2 linked regions of the Arabidopsis thaliana genome follow. The protein of the gene in region 2 binds, or shares a complex with, the protein of the main gene of each other region. Each region holds a gene or a part of one and is shown on either strand. Other genes may lie near its edges. The genes, in order: JAL33 and BGLU22.

The links.
Region 1: BGLU22 (region 2) and JAL33 share a complex: the UniProt entries of both Arabidopsis thaliana proteins name them as parts of the PYK10 complex.

The regions. Positions count from the first base shown.
Region 1 is NC_003074.8:5,586,614-5,590,905, reverse strand, and holds JAL33 (Mannose-binding lectin superfamily protein), read right to left. Parts: upstream 2,615-4,292; 5' UTR 2,420-2,614; exon of another isoform or gene 2,337-2,419; 5' UTR 2,314-2,336; coding exon 2,119-2,313; intron 1,935-2,118; coding exon 1,479-1,934; intron 1,366-1,478; coding exon 1,114-1,365; 3' UTR 821-1,113; downstream 1-820. Other genes in the region: MLP-300B (myrosinase-binding protein-like protein-300B), read right to left, coding at 3,365-3,616, 3,839-4,292. UniProt on the Arabidopsis thaliana protein: Sugar-binding protein showing significant affinity for (Glc alpha(1-4)Glc)(3) maltohexaose, (Glc alpha(1-6)Glc)(3) isomaltohexaose, Gal alpha(1-4)Gal beta(1-4)Glc, GalNAc alpha(1-3)(Fuc alpha(1-2)) and Gal beta(1-3)(Fuc alpha(1-4))GlcNAc beta(1-3)Gal beta(1-4)Glc.
Region 2 is NC_003070.9:24,705,829-24,711,788, forward strand, and holds BGLU22 (Glycosyl hydrolase superfamily protein), read right to left. Parts: upstream 4,169-5,960; 5' UTR 3,910-4,168; coding exon 3,745-3,909; intron 3,587-3,744; coding exon 3,517-3,586; intron 3,440-3,516; coding exon 3,384-3,439; intron 3,055-3,383; coding exon 2,979-3,054; intron 2,856-2,978; coding exon 2,778-2,855; intron 2,689-2,777; coding exon 2,601-2,688; intron 2,513-2,600; coding exon 2,260-2,512; intron 2,167-2,259; coding exon 2,051-2,166; intron 1,974-2,050; coding exon 1,756-1,973; intron 1,652-1,755; coding exon 1,617-1,651; intron 1,510-1,616; coding exon 1,407-1,509; intron 1,324-1,406; coding exon 1,215-1,323; intron 1,139-1,214; coding exon 931-1,138; 3' UTR 684-930; downstream 1-683. UniProt on the Arabidopsis thaliana protein: Beta-D-glucosidase active on scopolin >> esculin >> 4-MU-glucoside. No activity with DIMBOA-glucoside, pNP-glucoside, oNP-glucoside and sinigrin as substrates.

The sequences.
Region 1 (4,292 bases), on a different chromosome or scaffold from region 2:
GGACGGGTTTGGCAGTACGTTACTTAATAATAATTGTAAACTATAAAATAAAAATATATTATAAATAGATATAATTTGCAAAAAAAAATTATACTAACTTTAAAAAGATAAATTGTCCCCGCGGTATACCGCAGATTAAAATCTAATTCTTCTTAATTTCCGAAGATATATATGGAAACATATTTTTGACTTTTGGCAAAATAAAAAAAATGCGACTCGTGGATCTCGTGGCGTTTATTTCTATTGAGACAGATAACAATAATGATGACTTCTTTTAAGCTTAAAAAATACGTTATCACACTTTGAGTTTGAGCACGTCGAGCCTACTACACTCGTGAGACGTGTGTGGATCAGATCAGATCAGATCTCCTCCTTACGCGGCTGATCCAATATAAAAATATTGTAAATCAATTAGAAAGATGGAAAAATCCAAGATTAATATATTGCAAACTGAATTTCAAAAAGGGAAAATTCCAAGATTAGCATTACATGGGCTGGATCAGTTGATTGGTAAGGCCTAAATGCCAAATCACTAAAAGTTAGGACGCAATCTATCCCAGGTTTGCCAAAGCCGAGCCAAATTAATACATTCCAACAATCCTTTTTTCATATACTTTCATTTTTTTATCAGTATGATCATGACCACCCAATTAACCAATTTTTACTTACAAAACCTAATACTATTTTCAAAAAACTTTTATTTATACCTAAACAATAATGAACTTTAATCTATGATTATATGATCTATAGTCCCCATGTAATAATTGGACTTCATTTAAACATATTAAACATATATTCGCGGGTCTTTACCTAAAACAAAATTAATTCAGTAAAATGTTAATCTGAATACGCTAAACACACTTGCAGTAACTTAATTTAGTATGGATCGAACGTTGTTCACGATGGGACTTAATGTGCAATTTATAGGGATGGAATCAACCACCTTTATTCAAATCTATCATACGTAACATTATATAAAGACCAACATCACAAAAGAGAACGCTTAAAAACATTTAAACATAGATAGGCATAACCATCATAGGTATAACAAGTTATTTTCAAGAGATCACATTAACAAGTTCGATGGAAGCGAAGGAGGTAGCTGTAATGTGATCAGTTGGTGAGTGGCATGACATGGACTCCAAACTGATGAAGCAACTCACTGGCTTTTCCATGGAAGCCAACGATCTTGTGCCCTTCCTCTTTAAGTTCGAAGGCTGTGCCAGCTTCAAGTCCAAAGGGAGCAGACGTTTGTTTATTAGTCTTGAACCTAAGCATAGTTATGATTAGGCCATCACTCCCAAAGATTTTATCATAGGTGCCTTCAACTGCGGTGATGTATTCACTTGGATAGTCAATCTCAAACTGCAATTAAAGGATTTTAAATCATATAGATCAATCTGCTTACTGTCAATTAGTTTTAAGAAAATGAAAAGATACAACATATTTTGAATTTTGATAGCAAAAACAAAAAATACCTCCTCGAATCCGAGTAAAGTAGGCTTTCCATGTTCACCTCCTACGATATTCTCCGCGCCTTTGTTGTACTCAAACTTAACGGCTGATATCCCATCTTGGCCTTGTCCTACGTACACCTTCTTGACACCATCGTACGCACCGTCGTCCCATGCAGTTCCTTCATCACCACCAATTGCAGATAGTTTTTTGGCAGGAGTCACAGGAGTTGTGGTTGTAGCAAAATATGCTCCAAGAGCATATAAAGCTTCACCAGCGCGTCCATGGAAGCCAACAAGTTTACCACCGTTTTTGTCCTTGAGTACAAACTTCTTTTGCGTTTCCAATCCATAGGGTGGAGATGTTTTTCCCTTGAATGTATTGAAGGTAATAGATGTGATGATGTCAGAGTCTTGGCCAAACACGTTGTCGTAGGTCACTTGCACTGCTACTATGTAGTCGTCTGCATCAACCTCAAACTGCAATGATCGAAAAGATACCTCTCGTGAGTAGAGATGTTGTATAGATTAACTCAATCTAGACCGTATTAGGTGTGAATTGGTCTAGTCTTAATTGGTTCTCATTTTACAAAGCTTTAAAACTGATCCGAACAAGGCTAATAAGTTAAACTCAAAGAGAGTGGTAGCAAACACCACTACATACCGTTTCAAATCCAAGTAACGTTTTCTTTCCGTGTTCACCTCCTTCAACATCCTGAGAGTCCTTCGCATACACGACGTTGATAGATGACACACCATCTTGGCCTTGCCCTACATGCACCTTTCTAACGCCATCGTGGACACCATCATCCCATGAAGCTCCTCCGGCGCCACCCCCTGCTTCCACTTTTTGAGCCATCTTTTTGAATATTAATTAGTTACCTGTACGTATTAGTAGCGTACACGATTAGTTTTATTAACCAAACTCTACAAAACTATTATCAGACGAGAGACTGAGAATTTACCTGAGGAGAGAGGGAACGAGTTATTGATATGCATTACAATGACCTTCATGCGTATTTATTGATTATTTTTATTTCTGGATAAAATGTGTAATTATTGATATCATTGAATGTAGGCCACTAATTAATCTATAGAAATGTTAATATAATCTCGTGATCCACGAGTCATTAAAATATTAGAATGTTGTGAATATGAAGCAAATAAGTTGAATTGGAGTAGTTGATATTACTGATCTGTAGTTTTTTTTCCCTTTTTTTCCTTTGCTCACATAATACATGTTTTTCTCAACAATAGTTGTTGATCAAAAAAAAAAAAAAATCAACAATAGTTACAATTTTTGAAACCTGGTTAGATTTTACCCGTTATCCAATTGCTCATATGGTTTATATATATATATATATGTGTGTTTTAATATTATTTGATCATTACATAATTAACATATTATATTTCCATATATATTCTTAAGAAGAAAAATATGTGTTTGAAAAAAAAAAAAAATTAAACATACTGTATAATAAATTAAATCTAGATACTAAGTGGAGTGTACCTCCTTCGAAACGGACTGCGCGTAGTCTGGTGTTGGATTTTGATCAAAATGACCAATTCTCCAATTATGGCGAAGTTTTCTTGTTTCTCACTTTAAATAATGCTAAAGTCTTAAAGATAATTGTTTCCATCATACACTAGATGCCGAGATACTGAGTATGAATATAAGCTTTTCTCCTAATGTGCAACTGATATGTATAATAATCACCCACTTTTATTAAAGCCAATCACATATAATATTACAGGCATAACAACTTCACAAAACACCATACTTAAAGACACTTAAAACATAGATAAACAGAACAAGAAAAATTAGAAAACTTAAAACTTAATGAAGATATCACACGTGACAAACTTGGTGGTATAGAAGAGACATATATATATATATATATATGTGATGATCAGTTGGTGACAGGAAGGATATGGACTCCAAACTGATGAAGCACCGCACTTACTTTTCCATGAAACCCGACGATCTTGCAACCTTCTTCTTTGAGTTCGAAGGCTGTGCCAGCTTCAATTCCAAAGGGAGGAGACGTTTTCTTATTAGTTTTGAACCTAAGCATATTTATGACTTCAGTCTCAAAACCAAATATTTTGTCATATGTGCCTTCAACTGCAGTAATATATTCACTTGGATAGTCAAGTTGGAACTGCAATTGATGGAAACCAAATAAAACAATTGAGTTAGTTAAAATATTTTATATCAAAAATGGAGATATTCAACACTAGCTAATATAAAATATGCATGATTTTATCCACGAAAGTTTATGTGGATTCCCTTACCCAAGCATATTTTTGTGTAAGATATTCATATCATTTTGTAAAAACATTTCACATTCAACCACAAGAGAAGAAAGCAAGAAGTATTATACCTCTTCAAATCCGAGTAGAGTATCATTTCCATGTTCATCTCCTACAATATCCTCGGCGCCCTTATCGTACACAAACTTCACGGCCGATATACCATCTTGGGCTTGCCCTATATACACTTTCTTAACACCATCGAAAGCACCATCATCCCAGGCAGTTCCTTCGTCACCACCAACAGCCGGTAGTTTCTTGGCAGGAGTCAAAGGAGTTGTGGTTGTAGTAAAATACGCTCCAAGAGCATATAGAATTTCGCCAGCGCGTCCATGGAACCCAACAAGTTTGCCACCGTTCTTTTCCTTGAGTACAAACTTATTTTCGGTATCTAATCCGTAGGGTGGCGAGGTTTTTCCCTTGAATGTAGAGAAGGTTATGGATGTGATGATGTCGGAGTCATAGCCAAATATTTTGTCATAGGTCACCTGCACTGCTACGATGTAGTCGTCTGCATCAACCTCA
Region 2 (5,960 bases):
ATGGGTAGTTTAGGTATTTGTATTATTACAAATCATTTGGATGGAGATAGAGATAAGCAAACGAACATCTCATTCGGATGGTCCAGTCAAATGAACCGACTAAAAATGAAACGAACAAGAGTTAAATAAATCATCCAAATAGACATGTTGAATGGATCAGTTGGATGGATCTATCAAATGTAGAAACGAACAGGGCCTTAAAACCTTGACCAAAGAAATCTTTGTAATACCTGGCTGATTGTTTCTCATAACATTGAGATTATTTTTAAAATTGACGTAGTAGAATCCCAATCTGTTATATTAGAACCATCTTGCTGATATTATGTTGTGTTCATTTTTATGTACATTGTCTTATCTTATCCGATATCAAATTATGTAACTTGATTTTATCTAAATTGTTTGGAAAGATTAATCTCAAACTTGTAGCTACGGTGTGACATCTTATCCGATCTCAAATCATGGTGATTTTCTAAAAATGTTAAACTATTTCCATTGTTTTATTTCATCGCCAAGCGGTTTAAGTTGTTGAAGTTATTAGTCATTAAAATATTTGCACGATTTAGTTGTTAAGACGACGTCTAGTTATTGCATAATCTATTTCTTTAAATAGAGGTAAATTCGTATTTTCAATATTTTAAAAACTATGATATTTTTACTTCATATTTAAAAACATCAGTCCTTTTGTAAATTTAAGACTTTTTTTAATATATATAATACAATATTTCTTCATGTTTTGAAGGTAAAGATACCTTCATATAAGGATAATATATTTATACTAAAGCATTCTTGATCATGTCAAATAAGCTAGAAACTGAAGGAATACAAAACACTTTTATTATTATTAACCAAGACTTCATGAATCATGATCAATCACAAACTAAAACATAGGAAAGAAGCATTGAACAGAAAACCAAATCCTCAAAATATAACTTAAAGCTCATCCTTCTTGAGCGCGGATGGACGAACACCTTGACCGAGGAAATCTTTGTAGTACTTGGCTGATTCTTTCTCATAACGTGTGAGGTTATTTTTGAAATCGACGTAATAGAGTCCGAATCTGTTATTATAACCATCTTGCCATTCAAAGTTATCTAATAATGACCATACAAAGTATCCCGTAACTCTCACTTTGTCAATGCTGCACATACACAAATTTTCTTGATTAGATCATTCCATAGAATTGTTCTCTAAATAAATAAATAGTAAACGGTTACCAAATAGCTTCGTTCATAGCTAGAAGATGCCTCTGAAGATAGTATTTCCTGTTATAATCAGCAGTACCAACCTCAACCGAATCTTTGTCCTTAAGTTTATCTCCATATCCTAGAAAAACAACAACATTAAGATGAATATATATTTTAACTCCAAACTAAATCAACACACAGTAACCATAAATCTCGAGTTACCATTTTCCATGATCATAATTTCCGGGTTTGCGTATTTATCTTTGATGTACTTTAAAAGACTTCTAAAACCTTTAGCGTAGACGGGCAATGCAGCGGTAAGAGGCTGAAAATAAAACAATGGTGATAGATGTTATGTCGTTGAGAGAAATATTTTAATTGTTTAGTTGTTAAAACAATCTCAAACTAGGACTAGTTTAGTTTAACGCATACCTGGCTACCAATGGCGCTGTGATCTACATTCTTAGCTGAAATTTAAAAGTGAAAATGTATACATATCAATTAGTATTATAAAGAAAACATTTTCTCTTAGTTTCTTGGTTTGGTTTCATGTAAGGAAAAAAAAACTTACGTTCCCAAGCAACAAGAGAATCTTGCTTCCAACTTGGTGTAGACGGATCTGGCTTTTCATTATGGTTTGAAAATGTTGAAGTATAGTAGTTAAGCCCTACGAAATCGGTCGAATCTTTCAATTTTGCTTTTTGTGAAGAAGTGAATTTGGGCAATCTGTGACCAAGAAGGTCTTTCATGATTTGTGGATAATCTCCAAAAGTAGTTGGGTCTAGATGCCTACAAATAATAATCAAAACTCCATCAATTATATGAAATTGTATACAAGACCCCATTTTATCAAAGTATATACCTACCATCCCAACATAAAGTCAAGTACACGGCTAACAGTTGGAACGTCATTTGAATCTTTAAGATCATGTGGTTCGAACCAAGCCGGACTATGTGCGATTCCAATTTTCCCACCTTTAACCTACAAAATGTCCATTAACACAACACAAAACAAATTATATTCATATCCAAAACCTGATAGTTAATTTTGATATATATATCTAATGTAAATTACCTTTTGGCGGAAAACTTCAACAGCTTCTGCATGAGCGTTGAGGAGGTTGTGACTAACTAGATAAGCCTCATAACCTGATCGTCCATCTCGGTCTTCACAACCTTTAAGGTAGCGAGAACAACGTCCTGGCGCCTTCTTGCCTACGTCGTAACCTGCATGAGCGAAGACCCATGGCTCGTTGAAAGTGATCCAGTTTTTCACTTTTCCACCGTATTCAGTGAAAACATAATCTGCATATTCTCGGAAATCTTTCCTGTATTTTTGCAAAAAATGATATTAAACTAATAATTTCCATATAAAATTTAATTAGATGTATTTTGTTTCAATTTACAAAAACATACACAATGTTCTCGCTTAAGAAACCGCCATATTCGTCTTCTAAATCTTGTGGAGTGTCCCAATGGAAAACAGTCACAAACGGAATTATACCTAGTTACAATGTAAAAATAGATAGAAATGTTAAATAATGATACTATATTTCTTGTCTTTTTTAATTAATTAGTTTATATGTATATAACCATTTTTAAGGAGCTCATCGATCAGGTCGTGGTAGAATTTCACACCAGCTTGACTCACTCCCTTCTCCTTTCTCCCATCTAAAAACCCGTTAGTTTGTTTGATTAGTCAATAAATGTAAAATTCATTAGTTATTGATTTATATATCAATTCACCAAATTCGATTACTAAATCAAACTAGAGATCTGCAGACATATACTCACGAGGAAATATTCTTGACCATGCGATTGAGAGTCTGAATGCGTCTGTGTTTAGATTCTTCATTAGTTGAATATCTTCCTACAAACATTTTTAAGACGAGACAAATTTTCAATAATATCTCGTATAATATCAGCAAACTAAAAGTATAAAATATAAGTTATATTTGTCTTAAAATTATATTAATATATACCTTAAATTTATATTAATATATACCTCAACTTTATATTAATATATTATATATACAGTGTGGCTCCTCTCAAGGGTCTAACCATTTCAAAGTTTTGTAAGCATCCTCTGAGTTAATTTTCTCAAAATTCTTTTCAAACAAGAGGCACTTTATTGTAAAGATGTTTTTTTTCTTTTGAATATACTTTAAATTTAGATTCAAAATACATATATATATTTACCTTATAACGATGGAAGAAATCAACGGCCACATCGGCGTTGTGGCCACTACATCTCTCTGTAATTTAAAAATAAAAAGTGAATGAATTTAGATATCTAAAGATATTGTATAGAAAATATAGATTATACACTCACCTGGATTTCTCTTACAGAAGATATCCCATAGAGCAGGTCCACGACAAGTTTCATTAATTGCACCTTCAACCTAATGACATAACGAAAATAGCTGATGAGTTGAGGTAATAACATATGTTTGAATTCAGCATTTGGACTTAGGCTTGAATTTTGATGGAGACACAACACTAATACATATTTTTGAAGTATAGTGTAGTAAATAATTCATTTTGATGTCTCACAGTTTACCTGAAACGCAGCAGTAGCTGTGCCAAACACAAACCCATTAGGGAAACTTGCTCGGCTTAGTTTGGACGTCGTTGGGCACACAGGATCATCGACGGCTATTGTCGAAGAGACGACAATGGTTATGAGAAAAAGAAGCCCCAGGAGAGGGAACTTTTGCAATGCCATGGTTTCTAATTTTTGGTCTTTTGGAAGAGAACAAGTTTGTGATGATTTGTTTACATCTAAACAGAGTTCTTAATTATATAGTGATTTTGATTGTTTGGTAATGACAAATAAGTCACTAAACTATATTTGTTTAATAAATTTATTTTATATATAGGTGTGTTCTTACTTATTTTTCAAAGTTTGGAACATATTATATTACGCGTGGAACATATAATAAAAACGTGCCTTTAAATAAATAGTGTATCCTATCAAAAAAAAAAAAAAATCGTGTATGTCCTATAACTGAAGTCTTCATCTATTGTTGCACCTTCGTCTTAATAATATTTCTCGTGTTTAACGAGCAACAATATTAACATTTAATCTTCCATAATCAACGGATCTCTCATTTAATGTCTACTTTCAAATATGCAACCAGATCTGTTTTACAAGAAAAGAAAAAGATATGCCAACAAGGCCTCGTTAATCATTTTCTTTAATTTTCTATAGTAATGATCCAGATCGAGTTTTTGGATCTTACTTTAGGTATTATTGACGTTTAAGATATTAATATTTATTGAATAAACTTTCATTTACTTATCCCACTAAGATAGTATACAATTATTTAACTATTGTATACGATGGTGGTTAGGAGCAACGTGTCCCCATGAGAAACTTTTGCAATGACATTTTGGTTTTTAGTTTTCTTTTTTTTCTTTTGTCTTGATTAAGAAAACAATTTTAGGATGGTTCATTTATATGTTAGTGTCGTTTTTTATAGCGATACTGATCTCTCATTAATGTCTTGTTTTTAATATGCCACAACCAGGCCTCGTTGATAATGTTTATTTTATTTTACTATATAGATAGATCTAATCATCCAAATGGTGTTTTCGATCTTATCTTAATCATGATTATTATTGACGTTTTCATAACTTAATATAATCTTTCATTATTGGTTTCCGCTTGACTATTATTTAAATAGGATGATTCATTCGATGAGAGATCCCGGGTGACTAAGCTAAACTATACAATTATAAATAAGAAAATCTAGTGTATGACCTATATCTTCAAAATCTTGAACCTGTAGTAGTCGTCCTGATCATAGGATACATTGGTAACTTATGGACCGTAAAACCTAAGCAAAAGACCTTATAATGGTTATCAAACAAGTTATTAGATATCAAGACACAACCTCCAATTAGACTGGGAGTTTGGAATGAGTAATCTTCGGTTTCGGACAAACAATTGGTCACATTCTAGTCGCATGCTGACTGCTGTCAGGACAGTGCGGTAAAGCCTAATTAAGATCAACGAAATTTAGGCATCAAAATTAAAATATAAATGTGGGGCAACTTTTTTGCCCAAAAAAACACAAATTGGGGTAACTATTATTCACCAAACATTTTTCTTGGTCGATCAATTGGTGGTGTAATTGATTATTTTTCTTTCAAACAACTCAATGAGAAAGTCCATTTAGATTTGGAATGACCATTTCTCAAAATGCTACACTTCATGGCCTTTGTGATCGAGGACATTGAAAGCTACTATTTACATGATCAGAAAATCTGGTAAGTTTACAAGTCCATATATATGTCAAATATTGTACCTTGGAAGAAAGCAACTTAAAAATATGTGTATTCCTCTTAGCTGATGCCCTACCAAAGCACATTGCGACTCACTACTCTCGTCTAGTCGTCATAGAAGAAGAATACACTGCGACTAGTTTTTTTTGCTCTCCTAAGAATGAAGAAACGGTTGGTACAATCTTTTACTAACTATGGCCAGTTCAATTACTTACCCTTGGTTACTTCAATGATCTGGATCAGTTAAGAGTCTTTGTGTATCTTTATGGCGTAGTCAAGGAAATGGAAACTTCCAATTAAATATAAAACTATTAAATACTAAAAAATAAAATAAATTCGACATGTGTCACGATTAAGCAACAAATATATATTAAATGTGACTGAATGAAAGTCGTTGTATAACTCCAAAATAATGAAGCTTCCTTATATATCATTAAAAACACATGTAACGACAATCTCTCTTGGTGTTTGACTTTGAAGGTGTTCTTG